2 linked regions of the Caenorhabditis elegans genome follow. Changing the gene in region 1 together with any one later gene gives a genetic interaction. Each region holds a gene or a part of one and is shown on either strand. Other genes may lie near its edges. The genes, in order: lgg-1 and rer-1.

Region 1 (16,441 bases):
TAATTCCGATGAAGTGCATTCTCAATTTTAACAACTGACTGACTCCAATTTGATCTTTGCCCTTCTGACACTTCCGACGGGCTTTCTTCTGATGTCTGCTGTTTTAAAGCTCCTTCTGACATGCTTAGATGATCAATGGAATTTCGATAAAGTTGTCGATTTGGGCGTGGAGGGGCTGTTGGAGTAGAAGGCTGAAAAAAGCAAGTCAATATCCGAGTAGGTTCTAATCACTGGAAATGGGGAAAAGGGGAAAACGTAATTTATTCTGTTGAAAGTTAATTGTAAATTCTAACAGGCGGGCCGAGACAACTGGTGATTTTGTGGCATGTGATATGTGTTTGTGTAGCTCTTGCTAGATATTGACTACGCATATGTAAATTCACACGTTTTGTCGATTGCATACGAATAACGAAAAATATGAAAACTTTCGAATAACTAAAAAGTGTAGATTTCCAAAGGATGAGGCAAGGTTGCGCTCTTTTGATAGGAGAAGCCAAAAAGTTTTTTGTTTTGTTTTTAAGAGCGTAAAAGAAAAATATGACTGGTTACACAAATGAATAAAGCTACTATTAGGTATCTGGCAACCAGGAAATAAAATTACGAAACACTCAATAATAAATTTGCTTTTCTACTTTTCTAGTTTTTTAAAGTTATCTAACACATTATTTGCTCAATTCTACGGGAACATAAGTCATGGTGGTAAATGTAAAGTCTAGACAGTGATTTTGATCAGTGTTTCTCATATAACAAAATAGGTAGAGTATCAGTAATATATTAACAAAGATTTGTCCAAAAAGTAAACAGTATGTATTTTTTTAATAGGGGCAGTTTTCTTGCATTTTCTTGCATTTTCCTAACGTAAGCACCATGATTACCATTCAAAGCTTAAATCGGCTCTCTATAATAATATTGCATCTTATTTTTTCTGCGAGATCCAAATTTAACAAGATTTATCTTATGCCGTGTCCAATTAAAATCGAAGTTTGATCCTACTATTGTTTACCCAAACTTTGAAGGTAAGACATTGGTAATAGTTGGTTCAAACTTTGATTAAACGTAGCTTCGACAACTTTGAAGCTCTGACTCTTAAGGTTCTCAGAATCTGAGTTTTGCGAGAGTTTTATAAGTTATAAGAACTATTTTTCAATGAAGTCGTCGTAGAGAGCAGGCAGTGCAATACAAATAAATACGGCATAGAGGAAAAGTGCATTTACAACTCACCGAATCATCTTCCGTAATTCTCTGCAACGATCTTCCGTGTGTAATTGGCTGAAAACGTTGTTGAACTCCTTCGCTGAGCTCTTTCAAGCTTCTTCGCGTCGAGTTGGCTCTTTTGGACAGCGAAGATTGTAAACTGAAATTTTGTTTTTTTATTTTGAAAAAATTGAAAATAATCACCTAGACGAGCCACTCCGCGAAGCAAACTGTGGGTGATCTGATGCATCGTCATAATTGTCTGGTGTGTTAGGTAACATTCTCTGAAAAAGAAAATAGAGAAAAATTTGGAGGCATGTCAGAATCATATTTTGTTATTATAAGAATCGTATGATTTTGAGTTTATAGTGGTTGTTGTTCTATTTTTGTTGTCCGTTTTAACACAAATCTAGATGCGGTTGTCATAGTGACAAACACCAAATTGAAAGTTAGAAAAGGTGACAAAAATACTTAAAAGTGGAATAAAGCCAATACAGAAGGTAGGAGGCAAGTCATAGAGTGCCAATAAAAAGTTGATCGGATTAAAAACTTTTCGCGGAGGGAAATAATAAAACATCGCCGACCAACACCACCAATAATATAAATAAGGTCGTAGTTCCTTTCAACATTGATTTTGGATGGAAGTGTTCAAAAATTACCTGCCGACTTGAATATGGTTCATAATAGGACATTTTGGAGTGAATAATTTGTTGAGAGCAAGTATACAAAGGGAATGTGAATGTACAATAAAGGTAAGAGATTGGTATGAATAAGATACTCAGACAAACAGAAAAACTGTTTATTCAAGGCGGAATTGAAACTCTGAAGTGGGAAACATGATGAGTCGGATGAACAATGATAAGGTAATCAATGGACCACACACTTTGATTATTTTAAGGTGTTATAATTTCATGAAATGTCTGATATAATTATCAGTGAAAATTGCAATTTTGGAATTTGACTGAGTTCAGCAAAAAAGTTTTGATTTAGTTTCCACTAACCAAATGGCAGCGCGGTATATTTATACTTCTATACAAAGTTTTCTAGAAAAGAACTCTGGTCAAAAATATAAAAAGTACATTCGATTTTAAAATTGGGAGTGGGTAAACTGGAATTTGGCGAAAGGTTTTCGAACAACAAGGCAATTTTTATTATTTGTGGAATACTTTCCTGAAGGATTAGAGTAAAATATTTGTTGCTGTCAAAGTTGGGGTGAGTCTGATTTTTTTCACGAATTTGAGTGAAGTGGAATGAAATTGGTTTTTATATAGAGTTCAAAAGTCGAATGCTGGATCAGGGACTAGTAAATTCATTTTTTGGGCGTTTGCAATTATACAAACCTCATAGAAAAATGGATTTCCAAAAAATCAAAACATATTAAACAAGTTTTAAAGAATTGTCTTGACTAGTTTCAGTATTAGTAGTTTCAGAGATTTCTGGTATTTATTGAGTTTTACTAAAACACCATTTCGTGGTTCAGAAATTCGCAACTTATATTTCTTGCACCATTCTTGCTCTACTTTCACAGCTCATTTCGTTAGAAACTTTTTTGACATTAAAAAAATTTGAGTGGAGCAATGACTGACTAATGAATGCATGACTAATCGGAAAATTTTAGGTATTTTGCAAAAAACTTATAATAATCATATGAATATACCAAAAGTTTTAAAAATTCAATAAAAAGTATATAAGTTAAACAAAGAAAATGTTTCGATATGAAGAAAAATTCAATAGAAACTTCTAGATGAAAGAGCTTTTCATGTGATAATTTCAAAATGCCTAGTGAAAAGAAACACAAACCATAAAGCTTCAAAAATATGATCAACATCAATATATTGAACTAATGTGGCTGTGAAAACAAAAAGTTCTCAATTCCCATAAATGACTCATTACTTGTGTAAACATAGAACAGCTTAAATGGAAGTTTGGAAATGAAATACATCTGATTCAAAACTTAATCACCGATAAGCTAGGGAATTGGTGTTAGAGTACGGTAGCCGTACATTTGAATGACGAACATTTTGAATAGTGAAAAGGAAAGAAATGAATAATGGGAAAATGGAAAAAAAGAAAATGGAAAATGGAAAACAGAAAAATAAATAAAAGTGGAAACTCAAATACAGTCAAAATGAAAGAAAACTCGAGAATGCATGAAAGTAAGAGAGACGCTAAAGATAAACAGTACTGAACACAACAAAATAGAATTGGAAAAGAGCAAAAATGAGCACTTGTCCACAAATTTTTTGTTTGGTAAAAGTGAAAGATGTTATGTGGGTGTGCCTGATACTCTATGAATCCAACACTCTCTCACCAGTTATGCATGACCGCGACCCGCAGTTTGATGTTTGTATGAACTGTCCGGGAGGCCCTTCTTCAAGGAAAAAGGAACGAGAGAAATTAGGCATAGACATGAAGAGAAATACTTCCTTGAAGATGTGATTTGGGTCAGAGGAACAAAATGACATAGTGACAGACAGTGGGAGGAACGTTTGGGGTCTCCTGACTGTCTGAACTACGATAAGGATGAAACATATGATGATGGAATGAGTCAGAGCTCAGGAATAAAAATAATCGAAAATATTGAAGAAATTAATCAGAACTTTACAGAATGCACGAATGTGCTTGGTAATTTCAACAACGAATTGGTTTGTATTTAAAATATTTCAAAAGTTAGTTTAAAAAGGGTGGCTTTGAATTTTTGTCATATAAATGAAGAAATATAATTGTGTTTTTAAAAGGTATTAAATTTTTAATGTATTCAATGAACAGTCATTGCCATCAAAAATTTACCAAATTATCTTTTAAAAATTTATGTTGTTGTTCAGTTCAAGATGTGCTCCATCTAACTCATCCAAGTTATCGTTCTTTCCCTATTAGACTTGAACTACTTTACTTTGATGACTTGTGTCTTGGTGGTCTTGATTTTCAACAAAAAATGTTTAACACCTAAACATAGAGAATTATTTTGCACACATTTTGTCAGTTGATAATTTTTTGATAAAACTGAAGACAACCAAGATATACACTGTCAAAGTAGAAGGAGGGTGCATCTGTAATAGGGAGACTACGGTAGGCCATTGTTGTTCCAAATGCTCAATCGACTTTGGAATTATCACATAGTATCTAAACAAATATTCTGACGAACCATGATACTTAAATATAAATAGAATCAAATCCGATATTGATCCTCTTTCTTCATCAATCAATTTTAATGAAAAACAAGTCTACTTTCCCTTTCCTATTTTGGGTGTTGTCGTAGAAGCTCTATTACTACCAAATGTTGGCAATAAATAATGTAGTTGATTGATTAAAAAACGTGATAGTTCAATTATCAAATATAATTGTTTTTATTTCAATTATTCCAGAACCTACCATACTGCTCATTTCAATTTCTTCGTTCATCTTTTCCTTTTTCTCGTCTCTTCTCTATTATATAGATTTATGTCTACAGCTAATATCAGTCAAGTTAGAATATTTTGTGCCTGTGTTTGTGTGATTTGAAGTGGGAAGAAAACGAGAAGATTGATGAATAAGAAAAAAGAGGTTGAGAACGACGAGACGGGACTGAAAAGTGGGCGGGGTCTGACTACTCTTCGAGTCACCGCGCACCGAAGAAGACAAGGTGATTGAATGTGTGCAGCTGCTATCGTCATTTTATTAATTTTTTTTGGAAAAGTAATAAGCTGAAAAGACGAAAAAAATCGTTAGAAGCTTTGGAATGTGAATGAAAGAGAAATAGAAACATTGTCAGATGGGCGGAAACGAGAGGCAGGTGGTGTTGTGACGCAAATGGAGAAGAATGGAGCAGCAAAATCCAAAAGGGAAATAGTGAATAAAAAGAAGAGATTGAAGATGTTGTCAAGGCAACAAAGACCGGATAAGGTGTGATGTACTCTTGTGGTCTGAAAAAGGGTATTTTCAGAATTATGTTGTGGTTTCAAAGAGTGTTTGCTTACTATGTTCAAGTATCTATAGATCTCTAGTAGTCATAATTATTTTTTGAGCTGTTAAATATCTTAAAACCTTCGTAGAAAGAACAATTGTTTTCTTGTACGTCAGCTATGATGGACAAGTTAAAATCTTTCCAACTGACCAATTAAACGTTCACACATCATTCCCTTTGTTTACACTGACTTTTGAAGAGAACAATTCGTAATTGATATACTGAAAAACAAATGAAGAATCGCATGGAATCAATAAATATATTTATTATTGTTTACTGCCAATTTCCATACAAAAGAGAAATATTTTAGGATCATAGGAGAGATGGGTATTGCAAATGGATGTTTAGATGGGAATGGCTTCAAAATGGTTGAACAAATCGAGAAAGATGCATTGCAGAGAATTATGTCGGCAGATTCGGCTTAAGCCTTCCACTTGGCGACGGTGGCCTTTGGATCCTTTCCATTTTGCACATCGTTACGTCCATCCTTTGTTACTTCAGTACCGTCTGGCTTGACGATGATGAGAGCTGGGATTCCGGAAACTCCGTACTTGGTGGAAAGTTCCCTGGAAAAAACTAGTTAAAGAGGATTTTATAGAGTTATAACTTACTTGATGGCATCATTTCCATATGGGATATGGTACCAATCACCGTGCTCGCTCATATACATTTTCAGATCACTCTCGCTACGATCGAAAGAGACGAAGACGACCTCGAACTCATCTTCAACCTCCTCATAGAAATCCTTGAGAATTGGTGTGAAGCCGCGGCACGGTGGGCACCAATGAGCCGAGAAGTAGAATCCGACGGCCTTTCCAGCTAGAGCTTCAGTTGCGTCGACCAACGTTTTGTCGCGTTTTTCAAGTTTCACTCCAGCCAAAAGAGACATGTTCTTTCCTGAAAATATATATATTGGAGAATCAATATAAGAGTTGAGAAATTGATAGAATGGGACAAGGAGAGTTTAGTCCTAGGGTTTTTATATGAAACTTTCGGAACAAAAACTAAGGAAAATGAGGATGATGCGGAGGATGAGTCAATATCTCTATGATGAAATGTATGAGGAACATGTGTTGTTTTAAGATCAACAAATATCTTTCACTTTTAGTGATGTTGGTTTTGAATATTTTGAACTAGTTTTCCATTTCATTATTGGAATGAATTGTATGACAATCTACAGTAAATTGAATTCGTGATGAAAAGAAAGAATCAAAACGAAAAACGGGGGGAGTTGTTGGTGTTGTCAACACACAACACTCTGACAAAACTGAGAGAGATGTTGGAGAAGGGAGGAAATAGTTTACAATAATTGGAGATTTTGAACTGGGTCGCTCGAAACGAGTCTTTTTCTCGACGCTCTAAAATCTGCGTCTCAAATTTTGCGCACTTTCATATATTTTCTTAGCATTTCTTCACTTTCTAATAACATCTGGCGATCCCGATTTTCATAAGTTTCTCCACTTTTATTTCTAATATTTGGTCTCTACCGCTTTGAAAATATGGAGAAGTTCATAGTAAGTCTGAAAAGCTAGGATCTACGTTTTTCACGTGGTTTTCCAAATCAAAAAAATTTAGGATTTACTAGAGTTTGGCTCAGCGGAGCAGAAACGAAAAATGGGTCGACCATCAAAGATCCCTCCTTTCTCACATTATGACGCGTATAGAAGATCTGACATCGACTTTTTCATATCATTGTTTTCTGGAAGAGAAGAATTATACAGTCCGTGCAAGAAGAATAGTGATTTTCGACAGAAAGCGTTTTATATTATAGAGAAAAAATGTGGACATTTTCTTGCAATGAGGAAAGGTTAGTTTTTAGTTTTGAAAATGTGATTTACGAAAAGAGAAAGACTGTTTTTGATTTGGACTGTAAACATGTGAACAGGAATAAACATGTTTATGAACACCACATCAACTTACAGGTAGAAACGCCGAAAAGTTATGGTTATACCTATTCAATGATTTTGAAAAAATGATTAGAAATGGTGGTGATAAGAATGATGAGAAGTCCAAGTCTATAGTTCCGTTCTACGATTGTCTACAATTCCTTATTCCTTATTTGGAAAAAACAGACAGGTATGAAATGATCTAGATTTCCGAAACGGAAACCTTTTTCCAGCTTGTCAAAATTGACATTAACGACTTGCAATGCAGAAGCCGATGATCAACAAGTAAAAGCAAAAAAGCCAAAGATTGAGCATGAGCTATCAGAAGACAAGTTGAATGGTCTGAACTGTGATTTAAAGTGTATGTAAATTACAAGTAATTTTTCAGATGACTGGCTTCAAAAAGTTATAGATACGGTTACATGTCAGCAATCTACAAGTTGTACAAGTATACAATTGAATTCTTCGGCTCCTTCAACCTGCTCTGCAAAAACACCTAACTCAACAGCAAATCTACCAACTTCTGAAAAACACGCAGACATCATAGCCTATGTAACAAACTTTTTAGAAGATGTGCCAAACGACAAGTTGATGCTTCACAAAGTTCGATTATTCCAGTTTATCGAAGAAGAAAAGTCTAGGTTGAAAGAAGAAAGTAAATAAATTGAAAGGAATGATAAAAAAGAGTATAGATTGGAAGTGATAGTCTATGACTAGAAAGCGAGACACTCTTGTTTGTTTATTCATGATCATGGTCTCTCCTATATGAAACCACTGAATTTTTGATCGCAAATACTTTTTTCATGGAATGAACAGGTTACTACGAAATGCTCCGAATATCTTCTGATTGTGTGATCTATATAAGAAACATTAGTGAGCATATAAAAACGGTATCTTAGTTATTGAAAAATTTACTTGAATGCTAAACTGGGCTTATACTTTCGACTGACTTTCATCGTACACTATGGAATTGATATCTAAAAAATAAGATGACGTGGTGGTTGGTTAACCAACCATGTTAACCAACCAACCATGTACAACTAATCAAAAAGTAAACGTATAATACCCGATCGCAACGAAACAACTTTCGTGTTTATCAGGTCACCTGCTGAGAAACTTGCCAAATTTTTCAGTGTTTCACTACCTTTTGGGTCGACCGACATCTGCGCGGCACTCGTTGCTGGTTGTTTCGAATTCGAATTCGCCGTGTTCCCCATCACAGTCAAGTAATGATGGGGAAACCGATGAGATAACGAATACACCGTTCAAAAGGTAAAGGTCACGTTTTCGATCGAATTTTGCGATCAAATTGAAAAAAATAAGAAGAAGAAGAGATGGCAGAACATACACGTGATGAATTCAAAAAGGCAGAAAAATAGAAAAAAAAAGAGTATAAACACCACTTTATGAATAAAGCCATGCCAGTTTCTAATAGCAACGAAGGGAAAACAACGAGAAAATGGATAGAGGAAAAAGGGAAAAGGAGAAGGTGTAATTATAGAATCGATTTGACTGGGAAGCAGCGGCGACTCGTAGATTTACAATAGTAAGATGTAGAGAAACGAGACTCTTTTTTTAATCTCAAAAATATGTATTTAATTATACATCTTGAAAATTTTGCAGATTTTTTTAGAGTTAGCCTACAGTACTCGGTCTCGAAACGGCCAAAACTATTTAAATACCGTATCCGCAAGTATTTGTTTTTAATTTTTCATGATCTCCTACAATTTTCCAAAAATGTATCGGTTTTTCCTTTAAAAATGTGGAATTTTAAGTGAAACTATTACAACAGATACAGGTGAAAATTGCGAAACACTTTTGGGTGCGGTAGCTGAAAAGTTTCCATCGTGCCGAGACCGGCTACCGTATTTTCGCATTGAAAATCTCAAACTTCTGCAAATGGGTAGTACCAAAATTGTGTCTCGAAAATGATAAAATATGCCAGAATCGAATCAAAAATGATTCCTAAGTCAACGTTTGAGCCCTCTTATGACATTTTCAGACGATGACAACTAGAATAAACTGTCATTTGACAGATGACTAATGGATACAAAGAGCCTTTTTGCCAAAAGTGTGTCACCATTTTCGAAATAAAATTCTCATTTTTCTCTATACTTTGTTCAGAAATCTACAATGATGTTTACGTAATACAAATGTGACGTCAATTCTATACAGATGAAAAAGTGATTTCGCAATGTGTATTGCTAACTGTTGGAGGTATTCCATTCGCTGGCCGAAAATAACGATGAGCATGAACATGAATTTGTTTGTGTCTTCTTCGTTTATTCATGAATCAAAAATTTGAAAGTAATAGCAAAAAAATATCAAAATCCGAGAGAAAACATGATTTTCTGGGAGGGGAGAAGAGCAACTTCGTAGACAATAGTTTGAATAGAAGTCACTACTCGGAACCGTCATACGAGAAAAATGAGAAGAAAATGTGAAGGAAATACAGAATTATTACAGAAAATGAGAAGATTTTTTTAAAGGGGCTTTGGGTTTCCATTAGAAGTATGAAATTTCCATTGTACAAGTATACACATTCGTCGGCGGATAATACATGACACTTTATTCCTTCTTTTCGACCTCTCCTCCATACACACTTTCGTCACTGTAGGCGATGTAAAGGAACAAGTCTTCCTCGTGATGGTCCTGTAATAAAGAAAAGGGTTAATTAAATGAAAATAAACGACTGGTTAGTTACCTGGTAGAGTTGTCCCATTGTGGTCATGGTTTGTGGAATGACATTGTTGACAAAGAAGAACAGAGCATCTTCTGGACGAAGTTGGATGCGTTTTCTGATGAGGAAGTAGAACTGTCCAACAGTAAGATCGGATGGGACCAAGTACTTCTTCTTATCCAAGTCATGGAGCTTTGACTTTGGTGCTTTCTCAACAATCACTGGAATACGGTCTGGGTACTTTCTGCGGATCTTGTCTCCTTCGGCACGACGCTTCTCAAAGTTGTTCTCCTCCTTGTAAGCCCACTTCATTTTGATTCGAAGGTTAGTGTGAAGAGAAGGTTACTGGAATAAAAATACTTTAAATCACAGAAAAATCATAAAAGAACCATGAGAGAAGAAAGGTGTAACAAGTGAGAGTGAATGAAGGTGACATCACATGGGTTTTGAGAGATTGACCGATTCGATAACACATTGCGAAATCTATATAAAATTGACGACGAGTACTAGTAAGGCAAAAAGAGCATGAGCAAGAATGGCCCGTGTGCAAGTGAGAGAGGGAGTGTGCGCGCACATCGGTCATATGAGAGCGCGTAGACGCAGGAGACATCCTATTGATTTTCTATGTTTGTCTGGCCTGGTTTTGTTGAGATGCAGAGAAACAGGACAAGTACAATGCAGCTGTTTAGAGGTTGTCGGGGAAACTGTAATTCTGGGAAGACTGAAAGTCGATCGATATATTAGTAACATTTATCCAATATTCACTAGTATCCATAACCAGTTTCTACGAATATTCTTAGCGCATTGTTCCAAAAAATTGAATTCTGAAAGACTTTAGTAATCAACTATTAACTAGATTAATATGACCGTTCAATAAATAATTTTGGTATGATTTAGCAATATTTTTAGATAGAATTGTTAAACCGTACATTTAATAGTCAAACTTGTGAAACATTTCTTAATTTCAAATTTCAAATCTAAAAAAGATTTTGATTTGAAACCGGTTTTTTAAACAAACCAACTAAAATTACAAACTTTTAAATAAAAAAGTACTGTCGCTACCGACGTCGCCAGAAAGTGAAAGAAATGGCAGAAAGTCGCAAAGAAGAGCGAGAGGCAAGACTGAACACACCAAGACGAATGGCACTAGCTAGAAAGAGAGAGAGATGAGAGAGGGGCGGAGACGACGAGACACCACGACTCAACATCATGTGACTGTGTCATACGGCGGCGAAACGAGACAGCAGGCAGAGGAGAGCAAGAGAGTATAGGGAAACATTGGATGGTTTGAGAGAAGTAGAGCAGCATGGTGTAGAATCATCGGGGTTTCAGGTGCCGATCGACAGATTGTTTGTTCTTAGATTCTTTTGATAGGAAATTTTAAACGTTAGAAATGATCAAAAGTGATAAAAGGTTAGAATAACAACTAGACAACAGTTGGTATTGAGTATGTTTTGCTATTAAAGGAACATAATATGCTAAAACTAAACGAAATAAACGATATATAACTACTATATCCATACAATAATATGTAGGTGGAAAGTGCATTAGCGACATAATTCTAAAATAAAGAGTTGGAGCAATGAGAGCATCATCCACATTCACAGCTGTCACCGTGACGTAGAATGTAATGAACTAGAAGAGGGCATTCAAGACCAGCTGGTAAAACGCTAGAACTGACAATATAAAACAAATCAATTAAAAGATCTTAAAGACATTAGGGTGCACTCCATGTAATCGATCAGAAAGGCAAAAATATAAAAAGGAACAAGATAAAAATTTGCCGGAAGCAAACCGAGAAAAAATATTAAAAAAATAACCAAACAATAAACCAAAGGTTAAAAATTTATAGACAGTCAATAGTGACGAAATGTTTTACACGGACAGAAGTACAATAATCAGAATAAAGCTATAAATATAAATAAATAAAAAATGATAGCTAACATGGAGAAACAATAAAAATATGAAAAACGCTTTTTTCTTTGAACCGTAAACAACGAAAATCTAAAAATTGCCGAATAAGTTCGCTTGTAGCCCAGGATGGAACATTTGGAAACTTGCTACTACGAAACATCGAAATGTCAGAAAAAATAAAAGTAAAAAAGTTGTAAAAAATTATGATATGCCTAGGAAAAAGTTTGAAAACTCGTCGATATCCGCCTTTTTAATTGATTTAACAGAGATCAAATGTCGATTTACTGTCGCCTTGAAAGTGCACCAGTTCGAGAGAGATCTGTAAAAATTAGTTATGAGACTTGATCTGCAATATGACAAACTTACAACTTGCTAGCTGTAACATATCATCAGGTTTGAACTTCGAAATGTCTGGAGCACTGAAATTGGAATATTACATATCCACGATAAAATCTTTTCAAACCCACCTTGAAGTGCTTGGCATTGGTTTGTTAATCCTGATAATGGCTTCTTGTGCTGCGCCGACAAGCATATTCATTGATTGTGTTAACGGCATATTGTACTTCGCGATCAATTCCTGAACATCGTCAACAAGCCCCTCAGGTAACTGGCTGGTTTTGGCCTTTTTCCAATGATCTTCTAATGGAAATTCGTACTTTCTCTTCCTGTCGGCACTACCATTTGCTACAGGTTTAGGAAGTGATCGATTCGAATCATCAAGAATAATAGTATCATCACGTTCAACAACTTGAATCTCTTCATCGCTATCTTCCTCACTATTTGAATACGTTCTTGGCTCATCACTGTCTTCTCTGTCATCATCATCCACATCGACACCATCATTATCATCATCATCGTCAATTTCTACTACACTGTCGGATCCACGACTTCGAGCAGAACCAGCACCTGCTGAAGATGTCGTTAATTCTGCCCATGGAATACCAGCGATTGGTAATTCTGTAAAAATTTAACTTTTTGAAGAGCCGATCTGAAAAATCTTACGTGACGGCACCGGGAGCGGAGCTGGCCTGAACGGATTCGTAGCATTAGGGCCAAGACGAAGAGGAGCCTGAAAGTAGATGTCATCGTCCTGGTCGGTGTCAGATGATGAGGCAGGATAATGCTACAATGTAAACTTACACTCAACAGGTCATAAAGGGGCGGCAAACTCACTTGCGGTTGTCCTCGATACATGTGTCCCATGGTAGATCCTGAAAATTTTATTTTGAAGTTTTAAATTAAAATAATATTTTAAAAGCATATTATGATAAAAAATTAAATACCAAAAACTCGGTCGAATGGTGTAAAAACCGGGAATCGGCGCGACCTGTGGTTTGATCTATTTTCTTCGGGTTCAAGCTCAATTGAATCGTCGACCGTCACAACATCTGGAAGATACGATTTTTTGAAATTAAGTACAAATATGATTCTACCATTTCCAGCACTTTCACCTCCGCGATCTGTTCTGATTCGATATGTTATGGCACCGCACCACTCCAAAAATGACTTTCGACTGTTAATCAAAGACTTCAGCTCAGCAATAAATGCAATTACAACCCGACATGATACAAGCCCATTCAATGCTGCATCAACTTCTCTCTGAAACATTTCAAACTTATGGTAAATTTGTTTTTGAACTACCGCATTAAGATCACGCGTTCCACGATCTTCAATCATACTGAATATTCTATTGATAATCTCTTCGTCTTTTCCCTCGGCCACATCATGAAGTGTATAAAAATACCAGCTATTTTCATTGTCGACACGTGGTTGCTGAAATACTTTTCATTAGAACACTTTTATGTTTTAATGGGAAACGTTACCGTCTTCGCCGGAAGGGATTTCAACTCGACGCTCAAGAAACTGTGTAAAACTGCTCGATAGTGATCGATATTATCACGGAATTCAGTTTTCGACAGAGAATTAGTTGCATCTGGCAATCCTTCTGATATAACTTGACGCTCATAGATCAATCTTCGGAATGCGGCTTTTGAGACAATTAATGCTTTTGCTGCTCCATGATCAATGTCGTCTCGGAGCATTTGCAGGGAGTTCAATTGTGAGACACACAGTTGTTTCATCGAGTTCAACTCTTCTAATCGTGGCTTCCTTTTTTGACTATCAGATCTACTTGATGTTGCTCCACTAAAAGAATGTTCAAATACAATTTGTATATTACTCATCGAAAACTCTTACATGATCTCGTCAATTTGGTTCATTAGCCTTCGACAACTTCGAATTTTTCTCGACACAATTCTCTTCTCAGTCACAAGATCTTCTGAAGCAGTCGCTGCTGGCTCTCCTTCGGATTTTATTTGCTGGACGGTTATTTTCTCATCGGTTCCTTTCCGTTGGATGAAGCTAACTGGTGTTTTGCACATTGGACAGAAAGGACCGGATCCCTTCGTGAGCCAGCCTACAATGCAATCGTAGCAAAATTCATGGCAACAATCACTCAACGAGGTTGTATCGATAATTCTGAAATAAATCAATTTTTAATTAATACTATTGAATGAACTTACTCATTTTTGCATACCGAACACTCCTCTTCCGGTTCGTCGATTTCTTCTTTAGACTGGGGACTTTCTGTCATGTTACTTTCTCCAAAATCCTGAATTGTATTCTTTTTCAGTGGTGATTCACTTGTGCTCGGAGAATCCATTGAGCTTTTCAATTCTTTTGAGATTTGAAATATTCCTCTAAAAAATAAACTATCGGAAATTTTTTAGTTTCTCACAAATATTTTTCAGTTTGCGCAAAATTTTCAAGTTTGAAAACTCTAACTAATTTTTCCCATATTCTGGTTTGAAATTTCAGTTTCTCTTTTAAAAATTAAATTAATAAATTAAAATTAATATCAAAGAAAGAAGGTAGTCGAAGTAAAATAAAAAAGCCTAAAATGTTGATAAAGATGGAAGCAATCAAATAGATCTCATTGGAGCGCACAAGCATAGTTTTGAGATATTTGAATTTTTATAAGGAAATTTCCCTTAAAAAATGGAAAGAACAGAAACCGGATACAGAGAAAACACTCACAAATAGATTATTATGAAAAATTGGAAAAAAAAATAGTTGGGTGCATCTTTTGGAATTTTCTAGCTTATAGTAAGTTTTGTTATTATTAGATTCGTTGCTCTCAAACAAAACATCTTTCTCAATAAAACATAAATAATAAAAAAACACACAGAAAATACCAAAAACCTGTCTATAAAACAGTTTTCACAAACTGATTCGCTCAAAATATTATTTTAACATTTCATTAAATATTTTAATAAAGTTTTTGAAAAAAGCAGAACACATAGAATGAAAAAAAACGGGGGTTGAGTAACATTTGAATGTACATGTCACAAGGTACAACTAAACAGTGAAGGAAACGGGTTGTTTAAGAAGCGAGTGTACATTTATCCATACAGATATAATGTTTAAGAAACTCGAACAAGATTATTTTTTTAAATGAGCGTATTTCTTGGATATTAACGTCTATCACGACGAGAGTTTGTTGATCTTTTGGCTGGTGGTCCCTCGGGTGGATGCCCGTTTTCGGCTGCTGAAAAATCAAATTTCGGTAAAAAACAATTTAAAGTTAGAAATTTACCTCTTCTTGCGGATCTTGTTCGATGAGCAACCGAAATAAAGTCAAGTCCATTATCAGCATCCTCCTGATTTATGGTTGCAACAATTTCCGCAAGTGATCGAGATTCTTCGTCAGATATAGCGGGTGCTGGAGTTGCTGGACGAGGAATTTGTGTCGGTGCATTGCTTGTGCTAGCATGTTCTTGAATTGCTTGATGAGTTTGCTGCATATTTTGGTAAGCTCTGTTGAAAAGTTGTTCCACTTCTTCGATTCTTTGCTCCCGTGGTGGCTGTGGGAAATGTCTTCTCTCCAAAATGCTTCTGGTTCGGTTTAAATGCGCGAAATCATTACTCGTCATAGTTCGCGGCTGATAAACAGGTATACTCGTAGATGATGTAGTGGTTGAATTTAACCGTGGCGAGAGCATAACCTGAAACAATTTTGATGATATTTTATGTTTATATATTTTTTAAACCAACCAATCCAGAATAACCATCAGAAGTGAATCGTCGACTTGTATAATCCGACGATGCAGGGTGACGGAAGAGACTCTGAAATATAGAAAATCTTCAAGTTTTACTTACTATTAAATTAAATACATTCACTTCTTTATAAATTCTCAATAATACTCACCGAAAGCCCTCGTGATCGATTATCAAATTCCCGAACTCTTTGTAGAAGTCGATCTCTTTCGATTTCGCGGCGTGTCTGGGGCCGACTCTCAATCGGCGGAATCTCTTCGTCTGTCGGACGATCGGAATCTAAACGTCTCATTGCAGATCTCAGCGTCATATGACTGCGAGAAGTTGTCGGTTGCTGTGAAATAGGTAAAGTTCTAGTAGTTTGTCCAAATGTTACAGGCTCAACTGGAACCGGTTCTTCTGTAGTTGGATATCGAACACGAACATCTCGATCACGCATCATGTGGTAGGCTCTCATTGACAGCGGTACCCGATTTGGCATTTCCAGCATTTGTTCGTAGTATGCTCGTGCCAACGATTGTTCACGTGGATCTTCGTCAGGCATTGGCGTTGGAACTCTTTCTTCTGGCGACTCAGAACGATCACTATCATCATCGTTATTCGTGGCACGGTCCGTTCCATCAGTATTTGAAGATTGACGAAGAAGACGTCCTGCCACATAAGTATCCATCCAATCATTTGTACTTCCGATATCACGATGAATTTGATTGAAGAGTGCTTCGAATCGGCTTTGAGGATCATCACGTCCCATAGAGTTATAATCAAAGA
Region 2 (16,741 bases), 2.5 Mb from region 1:
ATGGTACGTGGAACTTATTGGGGAAATTGATTCTTTTTTCGAGAAATCATATGATCTCGAAATGAAAATAGGACTACCTTCACGTGATTAACTTATGGTACCACAGACTAAGCTTTTCATGTAACCATTACAATGCCTGCCTGCCTTGCACCTACGCATGCTTACTGTTAACTACCTTCATAAGATGCCAAAAACTATACTGCGCAAACATCGGTAGGTAGGCTCAGGCATACAGACATGCCTGCCTATGATGCTAAAGAACAAGCCAACGAACATCACTACTTGAATGTAAATATTTGCATAAATTTTTGCTTTGACTTCTGCTTTCAATTCAACTTTGAAGTTCTTGTTGATACAAAAATCTATTTTTAGAAATATATTCAGACATTGGCCTAAATTTAGATTCCTAAAAAAAAGTTTCAGCCTGCAAATGTGTAGTCGTTCCACAAATTCTCCAAAAACTCCACCTCTTTGTCCTCTAAAACTGGATGCCTAAAATAACTTCACCGATCGTTTTTATTGTTAAAACTTCCGGTGCATCGATGAAAGTTGACGCACGTCTAACACCTCCAACTTCAGCCTGCTATTAGGAATTAGCGTCATTGGTTGATAGAAGATCACAGTTTGCCGATCCATCACCACTTCTCTTATCACAATGCTCTCTAACCACCGCACGTGTCGGCGTGTCTGATGTTCCTCTGATCTATCATCAAGGCATCTGAATCAGATAAATAGCGGTCGACGAAGTCACGACTTCGCAAAGTTTTACACCATCTTCTATCAGTCCGATTCTTCTGAAAACAATAGAATGCTGCGATTCTTCACTCTCGTGGTTATTTTCGTTATTCCATGTAAGTCTAGAACACTTTTTGAACTTTGTCTGAAGTTTTATATTATTTTAACCAATAGTACATTTTATACATTTTATTTTCAAATCGAAGCTGCTCTAAAAATTCTGACAGTATATTCAATACTGTCTATGTTCTATTTAATTAAATTTAAAATTTCCAGTCATCCTTGCCGCACCTGAAATCGATTCCAATTCATCATCTGGTTTGGATGTTCTTTACAAGAAATTGATTAAAAAGCAAGAGAGCGTCAAAAACTCCCGTCTTATCGATTTTATCAGTAAAGGTGCTCCATCTGGAGTTGATGCTCCAATTCCATCGATCGCCGAATACGAGACTTTCAAATCTGATAAATCTGTAAACTTTTTGAGTGACGGAGCTGGACATATTGTTTTCCGTCAATTCAGAAGAATCCGAATCTCTGATGTAAGTTCAACTCAACGTTCTTTTAAATTTCAAGACAAACTTTTCCATTTTTCAGTTGCTCGGCTCCCAAATGAAAACCCGACCTGGACTTCGACTTTAATTTTTCCTACTGAAAATGCCACTTTTTCTAATAATTATGTACATGATCATCTTGTTTTTTAATACTTGAAAACGGGTCAATGACGAAAAAAACAAATGAAAAGAAACCCCAAATATCTGACAAATGCTAACAAAATATTGATTGCATAAAACTGACGAAATGAAGAATTCCTTCTTGTATCTTTTTACTTGATCTGTGTTGTTGGAAATGATAAAAAATAAACGAGATAAAAGAGAAATCAATAAGAAACACTGACCAGTGTGTCATTAAAAAAGGCTATAAAATGAAAATAAAACGGAATCTGCGGTAAACTATCAATTTATCTACGAAGTAGTTCAGTTAATGTTTTCAACTGAACATTTTTGATAATAAAACTAATTTCATCTGATCGATTGTCACTCGGCTTTAAACGCCTATATATCTTGTGGCAAATACCAAATAGTTACCATCTCACGAATAAAGTTTTGATAGTTGATATTATACGTTGCTAATTATGCAAAATGTATTTTGTGGCTCAGAATTGGTATTTTTGCAAAATTTGAACAAAAGTTAAAACATATATCTCAAAAACCTTTCTTAATGTTCGGTTGCACAATTTGATCCGATTTATTTTTAGATAGCGTATGCCCTCTACTAAACTTTACCAGCTCCTAACGTTATTTATCTATTTTTCAAAAAGCTGGTAATTTTGAAAAAAATAATACTAGATATCGTGAAATGCTTGAACCTTGAGATACCAATTTACCAAGACTATATCTGACTTGTTTGCACTCAAATTTCACAATATAAGCAGTGTGTTTAGGAATCAAAAAATCTTTAAATTTTTTAACTACTAGCGATTTTTCTTCCGCGTATTCCCAGATCATCACAGATCACAAAAATAACACCAAACACTAATTCACTTTTCCAGTTTCAGGCTGAATGTTCATATAAACAACCTTACAAATCAAAGTGATGCCTTTATGGTTCATAATTTCAGTCAGAAACTTGATTGGTCTGTAATTAAATACACACTCGGTACATCCTGGGTGCATATGGTAGACGCCTTTCAGGATGATAGAATGACAGTGATCAACATCGAAAAGAGGAACAAATGAATGAACAAAAGAAATTGCACGTGTAGCTGAGTATTACCGAACATGTGAATGAATTCATGTTTACATGAACATATGAATTAAGTTGTAAATAATAATATTTTGGAGAGTTTAAAATAAAATTACACAAAATACAACTGAGGTATGTCTCAAGAGGGTAAATACTCATTGACTCCTTGCTCTTTGAGGGTAGTCAATAATCTTGGAGTCAATGAGTATTTCCATGGACTGCTTGTATTTTTCCAGCTGATTCTCTCCTACATTCTGCTTATTGCATACTGGTTTTCATTTTTGTCAGTGAAAACTAAAAAAAAAGAAAGTATAGGGAAAGAAGTAAGACACAGAGTCAAACTCTTTTACCAAAAATCATTAATTTTTAGCAAACCAAATGATCAGGAATATCTTTTCTTCCTTTTGCAATATTTTTCATTGCAAAATACTTATCATTTGCTGAGTTACACAGAGTCAAAGCCATTTTACCGAAAATAATAAACAATTTTGAGAACTCTTCTGTTGTATTAGTCATAACTCAACATCTATTGCATTTCAAAAGAAAAATTTTGTTGAATAATGAGTAAAAAATATTTTGCTACATTTTATCAGTTTAACGTTTTTTGATGTTTTTATGTTCAGCAAAGTTACAGACCGTTTTCTGAAAAAATCCAATTTCGTCCATAAAACTCTTCATATCGAACGTATCGACTTGAAATTTTGAAAAATGATCACTTTTTTGAAGTCTCTACAATGTCCTAAAAAATCTTTCAAAAAATCCTGCTAATCTCCAAAATCGTCCTCCGCTCCAAAAAACGAAATCGGACTTTTGACTTTCGGAAAATGACGAAAAAATGAAATTGGGATATTTGGGTCGAAAAATATATTTTTAGAAAGCTGAGAACACGTTATTTACGAATATCATATTCATTTTTGATAATTTCGCCTTTGAAAAGACCTGAATTTAAAGCATGAACCTTAAGCAAAGAATAAAAGAATAAAATAAAATAAAAAGAATAAAAAAGAATAAATGTCACGTGAGCATCAAAATTAGCTTCATGATTTAATTTCAAGTCTTTTCAAAGGCGAAACAAATCAAAAATGAATATGATATTCGTAAATAACGTGTTCTCAGCTTTCTAAAAATATATTTTTCGACCCGAATATCCCAATTTCATTTTTTGGTCATTTTCCGAAAGGCAAAAGTCCGATTTCGTTTTTTGGAGCGGAGGACGATTTTGGAGATTAGCAGGATTTTTGAAAGATTTTTTAGGACATTGTAGAAACCTCAAAAAAGTGATCATTTTTCAAAATTTCAAGTCGATACGTTGGATATGAAGAGTTTTATGGGCAAAATTGGATTTTTTCAGAAAACGGTCTGTAGCTTAGCTGAACATAAAAATATCAAAAAACGTTAAACTGATAGTGTAGCAAAATATTTTTTATTTACTATTCAACAAAATTTGTTTTCTGAATTTCAATGGATGTTGAGTTATGACTGGTACAACAGAAGAGTTCTCAAAAATTTTTATGATTTTCGGTAAAATGGCTTTGACTCTGTGTAACTCAGCAAATAACTAGTATATTACAATGAAAAATATTGCAAAAGGAAGAAAAGATATTTCTGATCATTTGGTTTGCTAAAAATTTGCTTTCTAGACGCGTATTTTTCGAGATACGCTAGTTTGAAGATACACAATTTACAGAGATTTTAGGCAGTTATTTGATTTAATGAGGTTTTTTTTAATGATTTTTGGTAAAAGGGTTTGACTCTGTGTAACTCAACAAACAATTGGTAATTTGCAATTCAAATTGTTGCAGAATAAAGAAAAAATATTTGTGAGCATTTTGTTACTTTAAAATTTGTTTTCTAGAAATGTATTTTTTAAGGAAATAACAGTTTGAAGATACCCATTTTAGAGAGTTTAGGAAGTTTTGGTTTGCAATTTGCAAGGATGAATACATTACAATTTTTATCAAGTTCTGCCAAATCTAAACGATCTTATTCTACTAATTAGAAGTTTGATTTGAAATTGGAGAAAAACGAGTATTGCATTTGCAAAGTATATGTCACAACAGTTCATTTCCATATACTTTAAAAGAAATGCTCAATGTGGGACCTGCTTAAAGTTTCATACAATCGATTTTTTTTTTGAAATCTAGAGATCATTATATCAATTATATTGCATTCGTGTTTGATGTTGTCTTCAGAATAGACTCATCAATTGTTCAATGATATCTCTTCTTTTTTTTAAAACTACAAACTAAACTAAAATTCGTCATTTTTGTGGTAGGCTACAACGAAAGTGCTTGCTGTAAGATATTTTGTAGTTAAAGACGAGATAAAAAAGTTATAATACAGAAGTCGTAACAATACATGTGGCGCTGTTTAAAACTTATATAATCTAGTCTGAAACCGTATATGTAGCAACTTTGTTTTGTGAGTTCTATAATTGTTAACACAACAGCTTCAACCCCATTTCAGCCCTTTTCTCAAATTTTTTCCAGAAGCTTCCGGATTTTTCTTGTAAATTCAAATTTTCGGTAGTCGATGAAAATTTATTTTGAGTTGTCCATATTAAAATAATTTTTAAATAATTGACTTTTATTCGTGTTCAACTTTAAATTACTGAAAATCAAGAATTTGGGTGCATCTGTAGTACATTCTTGGTACACAACTTCCTTCTTCACTTATATATCTAGTCTTCAAACAAAGAACGCTCATTGGAAAAAACTGATTTACAACAGTCGCAAGACACCGAATTCTTCGTCAAAATACGATCAGCAGCGACATATCACAAGGTTTCAAGAGATCGAATGAACTGAATGGACCGTCTCATCCTTCGTCCATCATGTTCCATTGAACAATTTAGCACGATACAGCGTCATAGAAGCCACAATCTTGTGATTCTCAAAAAGAGGAGGGGCTAGATGCAGAGAACGATTGAATGACGAATGTGAAGATACAGTATCTGTATAAAACCTTCATAGTGGAAATTCGCTTCCCGTTTTTTCTAGACACATGAATGATCTACTGTCTTGCTCTCTCGTAAGATTATGGAATAAGTTTTTTCCAATAAGACATTGTGTTTACTCTGAAAAAGCGGTAAAATTATCTCAGTTGATAACTTCATAAAAAATAAAAAAATATTCAAAATGGAGTGACACCAGTAGGGAACTTGCATTTAAAATATTCTTATAGTACATTTGGCACTTTTCCAAAACTTTGCTGAACATTTTTTAGAAATCTAAAACTTTTTGTAGTGTTTATCATGACATTCGGTTATTTGGAATAAAAGCATTTTTCAAACAAAATACATGTTATAGTGGTCCTACAGATGCAAAATTTGACGAATATATTTATTTGGTGTTAGGAATGAAGTTTATAAAGTTAGGTCACAATTGTAGTTTGTTCTTAAGTAGTTCTAGTATATTTCAGTTGTTTTCTCTTGATGGGATACTGAGGTGGAGTTAGTGGAGGGATACTGTTGGGTTACTGTAGTGATACTGTGGTAGTATGATTTTTGAGATTATATCGTTTTTTTTTAATTTCCAGAAATTTATTCACTATGAAATGATCAGAACTTATTATGAACATTTGATAGTATCAGTATACTTTTCATAAGATTAATTATCCGTTTAAAATATGTTTAAAGCAATAATGTTTTTATATACGTTTCTGTTATCGGTCGTTTGAACAATTAACCATGATCGATCTTCAATCTGTACTAAATCGTTTGCAAGCTTCGAATTGCTTATTTGTTCAGCCACGTAATTGTTCATTTGTTTAGTTTCTGTGTGAAAAATTCAATTAGTTTTGAAGAAGAAATAAAGAAAAATAAAAACATTTAAATCTGTCAAAATCTTCACGAAATCATTTATCTGAAGTCTCTGTGAGCAATTCGAGTGCACCGACAATTAAATTACATTCTCAGCGATTTTTGAAAATGTAAAAGCTCTAAAAAGTAAAAGCTACTTCTTTCCGATTTTTTTCAGAATTGAATGTTGCAATTATCAAATCTTAGTATTGTTTCCACAAACTCATCCCAACATTATCATCTTGAGAATTCATTTCATCAAACATAAAACACGAATAAAATCACATTTGGTAAGAAGACGCGCAACAAATCAAGCAGGTCGTTTTTTTATTATTGGAGCAAAGACAAAGCTGATTTTGGAAGGAAACGTTGTGTGAAAGAGCAATAAACTATTAAAAAATCAAAAGGGAAAACAGGAGGAAAGCAAATAATTTAATACGGGGACTCGTTACTTTGAGATGTTTCAAAACATTGGCTTTTGAATAAATAAGTCATATGTGTTTCTATAATTCTTTCAAAATAACAATTAGAATTATGAAACTGTTTTAATATTTTACGAAAAACTTTAAAACAAGACTAAGAACGACAGATTAAGAGTGACCCGTTTCAACCGACGACAACTTTGCCGGTGTCTTCCTTTCCAGCCATTCGTGGCTTTCCCACTGTGAATGGAATGTATCGATATTTGATCATATGCTGGAATACATATTATTTTGAAAAGAATGACGAGTTTAAAAAACATACCATAATCTGTCTCTTGAGAGTGAGGAAGGTAAGGATGAAGAAATACATGACAAGAATTGGCCAGAATACTGGAACATCGAAGAATTCGAAGAAGGTGCAAGTGATTGCGATCAGAGTGGCCTTCATGAAGGAGTGCCTAGAAAAATAATATTTTGAATGACTTTCTCCGTTTCAAGATAATAAAGACTAACCAAAACTTAAACTCTGGCAGACGACGCATGAATGGGCGGAATTCGTCGTTTGTTTTCGATGGAAGAACTGGACCATCATCTTCATCCTGCAGAAAATAATGTTTACTTCATAACAAAATAAAATAACAAACCTCGAACTCTAAAGCTGGATCAATTGATGGAGTTAAAAAGAGCAAGAAGAGATTCAAATAGTAGATACCGACAGCATATGCAACAATGTAGAATCCCTGAAATCAAATTAATTATAACGTGACTTGAAGAAAAAAAAAATAACTCGTTGGTGATGAACTTTTTTTTTTGAAAAATTTTAACATATTTTCTATTTGTGCTCACTTACTTGCAAGAGAATAATTCTAGACGCAAAGAAGACGAGCGAGATCAGAGCGATAACCCATCGGAATGCAGTATGTGGCGTGAGACGATCGAGATAGTATTGATACTTCTGCAACATAATCAATAAAGTCACAATTTGCATTCTGATTAAAATTAACTCACCACTTCCAAACTGTGAAAGAAACGAGATGTTACACCTGGCCTGTCCCGAAGTCCGTCGTCCATATTACCTGATGAAATTGATAATGAACAATTGAAAAATTAATTTTTAAATTAATCAAGAATTAATTGAGAATAAAAACTTCATAGACGTGATGAAAATACGTGAAAAGTTGGGAAATATTGATTTCGATTAAAAAAGAAGTACACGTAGAAATATACGCAAACACGGTGACGGCAGAATGCACACTGTCTCTTCAAAACTTTTAAGGATGAATAAATTCAATTTTCAAGTTTTCTGTTATTTTTTGCTATTTTTTCATCAAAAAATGAAAATATTTTATATAGCAAAATATTCTGAAACTACCTAAATTTATTTCTTTGAATTGTTTTGAGCATTAATGGGAATTTCACAAGATTGATTCAGTTTTGCGAAGTTTTTGTTATCGAAAGTGTTCAAACTGCTATAGGGATATCCTAATGTATTTCTATTTCTATTTATATTCTATCGTGATTACATTTGGAAAATGATAGAAGAGTACCTTATATACCACTATAGTTACCATTGATATTTGAAAAAAAACTTATTTAAGGCATTTAAAAAATTGCAAGCTGGTTGGCTACCGTAATCTTCCTTTTCGAATCGCGAGAATTATTCTTACTTTTCGGTTCTTTCATGATACAATATTAGTAATGTTCCAATATTTTCAGATTAAACCATGATTGACATCGATAGTGTCAGTCTACCAATTCTGATCGGGGGATTAGTTGGCTTTGTCACTGTGATGGGAGTAGCAATAATCTACGTAGCAAAGAAGGAGCAACAAGGAGAACAGGAAGAAGTGTAAGTCATTAAAATAATGAATTGAACGTTTTTTTAATGAAACATTTCAGTGACGTTGTAATGGATGAAGTGACAGAGACGATTATTAGCGAGGAACCAGTGAAGAAGAATAAGCACCAACGAACGAATGATCAATGGAAAGCAAAGGAACCAACATTCGTTCATCCATGGAACGTATCAGTATTGAAAGGACATAAAAAAGAAGTGACAGATGTTGCATTTGCTTCAGATGGCAAAAAGTTTGTATCAATTTCCGGAGATCGTTCGGTTATTCTCTGGGATGTTAGAGACTTTGAGAACAAGGAACACAAATGTATCAGACAAACGGTTGAATATGACACTCCAACTCGTGTAGTATTTGCTCCGGATTGTAAGAGTGTTGTATTTAGTGTGAAAAGAGAAAACAAGGTATACAATGATTGAATTTTGATCAACACATTCATAATTTTTCAGATTTGCGTCTACAAGCTCGTTAAGAAAACCGAAGGATCAGGATCCCATCATTTTGTGCATATTGACAATTTAGAATTTGAAAGAGTTCATCAGGTTGATATTCAAAATATTGGCATTGCCGGAAACGGTAAGTTAACTGCGAAAATTGTTTGGCAATTTATTTTTAATTTTCAGCGAAATACCTGATGAGTGCAGCACTCGATAACAAAATTTGTCTTTACGATCTACGCGGACAACTTCTACAGTCAATTGATGCTAAAGTGAGCAGTCTATATGACTGTCGTCTCTCTCCTGATGGTCGTTTTATCATTGTATCAGGATTCACACCAGATGTATTTGTTTTCGAGCCAATTTTTACAAGAGATGGAACATTCCAGAGTGCCAAGAAAGTGTTCAGTCTCAGTGTAAGCTACATTCATGATTTCCAAAATTTCATCTGAATTATTTTTAGGGTCACCAATCTGGAGTACTTGCTGCTGCTTTCAACAACTCATCGACTCGTGCGGTCACAGTCTCCAGAGACGGAAAATGGCGCATTTTCGACACCGATATTCGCTATGAGGCTGGGCAAGATTCCAAAATTTTGAGAGAGTGAGTTAAAGAAAAGCGAGAAACCGAAATTATATAGCGGGATAAAATGAGAAAATAGAATAGGTGATTGCTAGGCAACGAAAGTGAGTAGACGTCTATAGCGAAAGAGAGGCGAGTTGATGATAAAATTGTGTTCTGTTAAGCACTGCGTCTTATTGAATTCACACTAGAAAGTAACAATTTTTCAGGGGAAGCTGGGCTCCTCTGCATGCCGCCACAAGTGAACACGTGCGATTAGAAATGAGCCCAAGTGGTGACTCATTTGCAGTTTCGTTCAAGACAGATTTGAAGGTGTTCGCTTCGGAAGACGAAACCAAGGACTATCCGGAATGTAAGACAAAATTGATTGGATTTTTCAATATCAAACATTTATTTAAAACTTTTTTCTAAAATATCGGATTTTTTTTCTGTTGAACTTTCTGAACATTGTCAATTTGCTCATTTTCGAAAATTAGTTTAATTTTAGAACAGTTTAATTGTAAATAATCCACGATTCTTGAAAACTGAAACCACATTACAAATTTTCAGTGAAAGACATCTGCTCGACTACAATTTCATCGATTGCCTATTCCTCTGACGGAAAATATATTGCAACATGTGGAGACAAATATGTCCGTGTCATTCGGAATGTTCCAGAGTGGCACAGCAGAGTGGTTAAACTGAACCGAGAGCTTCCAGAAATCACACAGGAAGGTGCTCGTCGCCGTATCAAAGAGCAGATTGATGAGGCTCAGGAACTTCTGAAGCAATTCGAAAAATAATTTATTTTATTCGTGTAAAGTGCCAATAATTCCCTCCTAAAGCGGTGTTATGTTTATTTATTTATTTCTTCGCATCATTTGATTTTATAAATACGTGTACGTAAACTTTATCTAATGGCTTTTCCCACGTTCTCTGTTATAAATCCCGTGAAAATTATATTTTGTTATGTTTGAAACATTTATTTAGGAAATTACTCCTTTCTAAATAGATGAGTCTTCCTCCTCGACCGTACGATAACAGACCCCCAACGGGAGTTAGAGCGAAACCTGTGATCAATCTCAATATAGAATACACTTCCTGCAATGATTCAGTGGCACCTGCATGTAGCACACGTCCGATGCTTATCGAGAACATGATTAACCAGAGAAATGTCAATATAAATGTTCTGGAGGGATACGATCCTAAGTCGAAAAGTGTTATTGTAAGACATTCCATAGTTTAACACGGCAATTCTTCAATAATTCATATTCAGAACCAACATTCGATCTACCATCTCTATGAGTTTGAATCTAAAACAAGATTTCTCGATCGTATTCCACGTCCACGAGTGAGCCGATTCACCGAACTCGTAATTGGATATTTATGTAAAAGAAAAAAAAAACTCATTTTTATTTTGCAGAAAACGAGATTTCTCTGTTGTCGCTATGTCCTTTGTGCAATTGATGATGTGATGCAAAAGCAAAAACCAATGGAATTGATGGCAATTCGTTTGAATGGAGACATTTACATTGGCGCTAATAAATCTATGGATTTGTAATATAACGATTTTAAAATTTACTAAACGATTGTACTCGTTTTAGGCAAACTGACAAGAAGACCCAAGAGGCGGCATTCGGTGGTTTGAATTTCGCCATGAAGGTTACGAGAGAATCCGATCAAAAAATACTCAAAAAGCATCACAGTGTCGTCAAGCAATTGCGAATTGAGAACACGAGAAATTCAATGTCAATGTCAATTTTCGTTTCAAGTGTCGCCCGTGCTTTTGATCAACGAGGAAACGTTGTTGAATTGAAGACAGTTGGCTCGAAAGTTATGGGAAAAGTTCAGAACCTTTCAAGATTGAAAGCTAGAGACTGGTGGCTTCGAGCTTTGTTGAGTGGAGCTGACCGCATTGTTTACGGTCTGAGAATGGATAATATGAAAGTTAATGAGGTAACACATTTCAGTACATTCTTTTTAAAAAAACACAATTTTACAACAGATCCACGAAGCTCAACTCACCGACTTCACCAAAGGACACTTCCGTTTTGACGGTGCCAAGCTTTTCTCTGAAATTTTCAAAATTTTCAGTACAATAGACAAAATAATCGGTGCTGAAGGCGATATGTGCATGGTAATTTAAAATAATTTTCATTTAATTATGAAGTTTTATAATTTTTAATTATAGGTAAAATCAGATGGCTCCACTCCGATCAGTGTGACATTGACAACAAGAGAAAGCCTGAAAAGAAGTCCATTCTGGTGACCTGGCAATGAACAACGCTACAGCATTTATTACACACGTGCATCATCATATCGGGATTCCCAAAATTTCATTCGATCTAACTAATTCTAAAAACTTTATTTATTAATGTTCGGGTGATATCACATGTGATCCCTTCCTGTGTTTATACTAAATTTACTTGTTACGAGTATTTCTAATGAATGATCTCTCTCTCTCCTGTTCTAATTAATTTTAAAATGCTCCTGGAAATTCTACTTGATAAAGACGCTTCCATGACATTTTTCAAATTTCAGCCGATTATTTGAAACAGTTGATAAGAAAATGTGTATGAACCAATGTTTGATCTACGCTCACGCTTTGCTCTGAATCTGAAAATTAGTTTAGTTTTAATTTCTCCCCGTATTCGTATTAATATCTACACTCATTACCCCATTTCTTTGTGACATGCTACAATTTATAATAATAATAATAGCATGGAATCTGGCAATCGCAACAAATATTTCACCTGCGAAAGATGGAGTTATGGAGTTGAAAATGGTTCATATCGTAGGTTTTATAATGTTTTGGAATCTAGTGTTACGATTTTTGAAAAGGTTTGGAGGCATGGAGATAGATCACCTACGACTACATTTAACGTGGATCCATTCCAAGAGGATAGTTGGACATTTGGAGGTGGAGGATGGGGACAGCTTTCACCGGTAATGATTGTTCATATGGAGTTAATATAGTTGTTTTGGATACCTTTCAGCTCGGAATGAATCAACATTTAACTCTTGGAAAGAAGCTTCGCAATCGTTATGTCAACACAGGAAACTCCACCCACAACTTCTTACCAGCAGTCTATGATCAAAAAACAATGTACATACGATCTACGGGAATCAATCGAACTTTGATCTCAGCCACTTCAAATATGCTCGGAATGTATGGACAAGACGGCTACGGTAGCTCGGCTGGAACTGATTTTCCAGATGCTCAGGGATGGCCACGTGGCTTCGTTCCTATTCCAGTTCATACCGTTGATTATGACAGTGATCATGTGAGATTTTGGGCTATTTGAATCAATAAAAAATTGGAGAATAAAGGTGAAGTATAGAAAGTATTTTACATCGCTCCACGCAATAATGCCCAAATATCGTAGTCAGGCTATCTTAATTTTGGAAGTGAATAAAACACATTTCTAAAAGTTTTATTTTTTAATTGCGTTTCAATTATTTGTATTCAAACTTTCTAGGGAATCTAACCTACAACAATGCTCGGAATTACTCAAAAAATCCGTACTGTTGGAAAATTTGGCAATTTACCAAAACTTTGAATTGGTGTGTCTTATTATGAAATTTCGACATATTAGACTATTGTACTATTTAGACTAGATCGGAAACTTTAAAACTATATTTAATCAGAAGCAGTTGTTTTAGATTGGAAATATGGACTGCATCTGCCCACGTCGTGAATGGCTCTGGAATATTGCTCAACAATCGGACGAAATGAAGAACTGGAGAAGCTCAGTACCAGTTTCATCAGTAATCGACAAACTAACGTCACTGGTTAATCAAACATGGAGTCTAGAAGATTTCTGGACTGTCCCGGATGCCTTATTCATTGAACAAATATATTTTAATGAATCACTTCGAAAAGAGAATACATGGTTCAATGATGATTTTTATAGTCAAATTGTGGCAGTAAATGATCAAATTTATATGTATCAATACGGAGTATTCAGTACGTTGTTTTTCTAAGAACATTGTATGTAATAATTTTTCAGATAGTACTATTAATATGAACAACATGAATATTGGCCTTGAGCTTCTGAAAGTACGATCCGGACCTCTTATGAATGATATGATGGATAGAATTAATAAGAAAAGTGATTGTACATATGGAAAAAATACACAAGGGTGTGATTGGATAAATGGACTCAAGTACTTCGTTTATTCAGCTGTGGGTTTTTTGGTAGTAACCTTAAGAAGCTTCTGGAAATTTTTTAGTTGTACATGTTATTCACAATTGAATTATTACATTAAACATTTTTTTTCAGCACGATGAGACCGTATACGCAGTGCTAGTAGCTCTTGGCATCGAACGATTTGCTATTAAACCTCACGGATATCCACTTTATTCCGCTGCCGTATCGGTTGAATATTGGAGAAATACTACTGATAACGCTGACTATTTTAAGGTAGGTTTGTTCGGTAAAGCAATATTGTAATATCTAAGTTTTGAAGCTGGTTTACCACAAACAATCTGGAGATGACTTTACTGTGATGACGAAGGAGATTACTGGATGTGGAGGAGATTACTGTTCAATGAATGTGTTGAATCAAATTGCAAACAATTTAAAACCAGATCAACCTATTGATCAATGGTGTCTCGTTACCGGATCCTCGAACTCTTCTTCACTTTTATTTTTGATTATATTCACTTTCATTTCAAAATATATTTTATTCTAGAACACTATATGATATTCATAAATATTTATTGATGTATGATAAATAAAATACACTTTTTTCGCTTTAAAATTAAAATTATGGCAATAATGTGCGTAGGTAGGTTGTTTCCTTTTGAATGGATCTATCGTCTTCTCTTTCTGCAGCATTGGTTATTTCCACAAAGTGAGAATCCAGTTGAACAATTGCATTGTGAACCACTCATTGCACATGGTTCGACTTGCAACGGGCAGTTCTGTTGACAGGCGTTCTGGCAAGCTGGCAGACAGAATTCAATTTGGGTCAGAAGTTGAGTTTTACATTGATCAACGCACTGATTAGCACATTGTGGAGCACATGTCACAGTTTCTTCCATTGGTTTTTTAAGAACAATTTCCAATTTGAAAGTTGGTTCTGCAGATTCCTTCACGATCTGAAAAAAAACAACGATATTTTAACAATTTGCCAAGCAGAACTCTATCAGCTGATATTTCAGTTACAGTACTTCAACGCAAGATGATCTACAACTGTCAGTACAAGCTGTGCTGCATTGTGGAACACTTTGGCTGTTCTGTTGAACACATGAAGTTTGGCAAGATTGGGTGCAAGCTGGCATACAGTTGTTGTCAGCCTAAAAATCTTCAGTTTTTGCAGAAAGTTCTAAATTTTCTGACCTGTGGAATTACAATTTCAAATTGATAATTTTGAATACACTTTGAATCACAGACAGGTTGACAAGCTGGAGCACACTGCTTGGAGCTCTGATCATTCATTGGGATCGTGAATGTGTATGTCTCCATACAAGATGGTTGGCAAGCTGGTTGACATTGTGGCTGGCAAGATGGCGTCGGGGGTGGAGTGGTCATTACTGGAAGTTTAAGAGTGAAGCTTATGCATTGTGGATCACAAGCTGGTTGGCATTGTGGAGCGCATGATGGGGCTGCAGTAGTCATTGGAATGGAGATAGTGTAGGTAGTTGCCTGAAAAGAAAAAAACTATGGTGGTTATTATAATTTTAATTTATGTTTATTTACAGTTCTAAACTTTTCCTGTTGTGTTGTTTTTTCTTCAAATTTTATATCATATTTACCTGCTGGACACACTCTTGAGTGCAAGCCGGTTGGCATTGTGGAACACAGGTCTTTGTGATTGGAACGGTTGTTTGAACAGTGATTTGTTGTACACAAAGAGGTTCGCAGGCCGGTTGACATGCTGATGGACAGCTATTTCCTTGATTCCCTTTGGAGTAACTTTGTTGTATAGTAACTTGGTATTGAGACTGAATGCAAGATTGCTCACAAGTTGGTTGACAAGCGGGAACACAATTATACTGACGTTGCTGTTTCTGTTGAGAATTCATTTGTTGTACTTGAATCTTGTAAGTTTGAATGCATTGTTGATCACATGATGGTTGGCATTGAGGAATACATTGTGGAGAAGAAGTTGAGGTTGAAGGGGTTTCATCAATCATATTAATTTGAACCGAGAAGTTTGGCTGAGCAGCTACACATTCCTGAGTACATGCTGGTTGGCATTGTGGAACACAAGAAGACTGTGGGATGTACTGTTGAGACAGTTGCTGAGGTTGTTGATAGCTGTTCTTGATCTTCAGCACAATTTGAGCAACAATACATTTAGTCTCACAAGCTGGCTGACACTCTGGGACGCATTGTTTTGGAAGCGAGATAGTTGTAGTAAAGGTGTCAGTACAAGATGGAAGACAAGCTGGCTGACACTGAGAAACGCAGTGAAGTGGGGCTGGAGTCGTCGTGTAAATAGCAACACATCCTGGATCACAAGCTGGTTGACAGATTGAGATGCACACTTTGGTTACTGGTGGAACTGTTGAAATGCCTGAAGACCCCGAAGAAAGATACTGATAAACACATTGTGGCTGGCAAGCTGGTTGACAGGCTGGAATGCATGTTTCAGGAGCACGAGTTGCTTGTGTTGCTTGAGAAGTTACGATCTGAATCTGAAGCTGTCTCTCTACACATTGTGGTTGACAAGCGGGTTGGCAGGCCGGGATACATGTTTCTGTCGTGGTAACTGCTTGAACACATTGTGGAGTGCACGCTGGTTGACAAGCCGGAATGCAGGAAGCTGTTGTTGGTTGAGCTGTAGTTTGAATAGAAACAGTGACCGATTGAATACATTGTGGAGAACAGGTTGGCTGACACTGGGAGGGACATTTCTGGGCAAGTGGCATCTTTTGAATAATCACTTCATACCGCTTCATGACATTAATACACTGAGCGTCACATGTTGGTTGGCAAGCAGAGACACATGATCTTGATGGGGCTAAGGTTGTGGTCTGAAAAATTGAATATTTTTTTGGTTGTGAAAATTGGTCGTTCAGACCGAAGTACGCATGAATTCTTTGACATTTATAGATACAGCAGCTTGAACGCATGTTGGTTGGCAAGATTTGATGCACATATCAATGCAATAAGATTTATTTGGCTGAGCTGTGCAACTGTTGGCACATGATTGAGCACAGGCTTGTGGGCATTGAGAAGC

The links.
Region 2: of lgg-1 (region 1) and rer-1, changing one suppresses a phenotype caused by changing the other (phenotypic suppression), as found in Caenorhabditis elegans (one study listed by BioGRID).

The regions. Positions count from the first base shown.
Region 1 is NC_003280.10:6,337,672-6,354,112, forward strand, and holds lgg-1 (Protein lgg-1), read right to left. Parts: upstream 10,049-16,441; 5' UTR 10,016-10,048; coding exon 9,728-10,015; intron 9,676-9,727; coding exon 9,592-9,675; 3' UTR 9,289-9,591; downstream 1-9,288. Other genes in the region: C32D5.7 (uncharacterized protein), read right to left, coding at 1-191, 1,222-1,354, 1,399-1,478, 1,854-1,886; C32D5.8 (protein-disulfide reductase), read right to left, coding at 5,559-5,703, 5,749-6,034, 8,168-8,240; txt-18 (transcellular chaperone signaling (x)cross tissue), read left to right, coding at 6,637-6,651, 6,713-6,944, 7,060-7,213, 7,257-7,363, 7,412-7,686; putative RING finger protein C32D5.10, read right to left, coding at 11,899-11,936, 11,984-12,036, 12,085-12,574, 12,620-12,686, 12,791-12,828, 12,901-13,005, 13,051-13,216, 13,259-13,390 and 3 more; C32D5.11 (RING-type domain-containing protein), read right to left, coding at 15,091-15,164, 15,213-15,621, 15,671-15,742, 15,825-16,441. UniProt on the Caenorhabditis elegans protein: Ubiquitin-like modifier involved in the formation of autophagosomal vacuoles (autophagosomes). When lipidated mediates tethering between adjacent membranes and stimulates membrane fusion during autophagy. Recruits lipidated-lgg-2 to maturing autophagosomes.
Region 2 is NC_003280.10:8,802,404-8,819,144, reverse strand, and holds rer-1 (Protein RER1 homolog), read right to left. Parts: upstream 7,776-16,741; 5' UTR 7,771-7,775; coding exon 7,708-7,770; intron 7,655-7,707; coding exon 7,550-7,654; intron 7,440-7,549; coding exon 7,344-7,439; intron 7,299-7,343; coding exon 7,213-7,298; intron 7,158-7,212; coding exon 7,022-7,157; intron 6,974-7,021; coding exon 6,884-6,973; 3' UTR 6,512-6,883; downstream 1-6,511. Other genes in the region: F46C5.10 (Neuropeptide-Like Protein), read left to right, coding at 809-851, 1,012-1,274, 1,330-1,374; F46C5.9 (WD_REPEATS_REGION domain-containing protein), read left to right, coding at 8,424-8,548, 8,599-8,956, 9,002-9,128, 9,176-9,405, 9,453-9,592, 9,781-9,923, 10,121-10,353; F07H5.10 (Decapping nuclease), read left to right, coding at 10,563-10,775, 10,827-10,922, 10,974-11,107, 11,155-11,506, 11,556-11,687, 11,742-11,819; pho-13 (intestinal acid PHOsphatase), read left to right, coding at 12,243-12,344, 12,392-12,496, 12,547-12,834, 13,214-13,517, 13,561-13,736, 13,834-13,974, 14,021-14,245; appg-2 (Activated in Blocked Unfolded protein response), read right to left, coding at 14,367-14,654, 14,727-14,852, 14,896-15,201, 15,312-16,535, 16,583-16,741. UniProt on the Caenorhabditis elegans protein: May be involved in protein transport along the secretory pathway.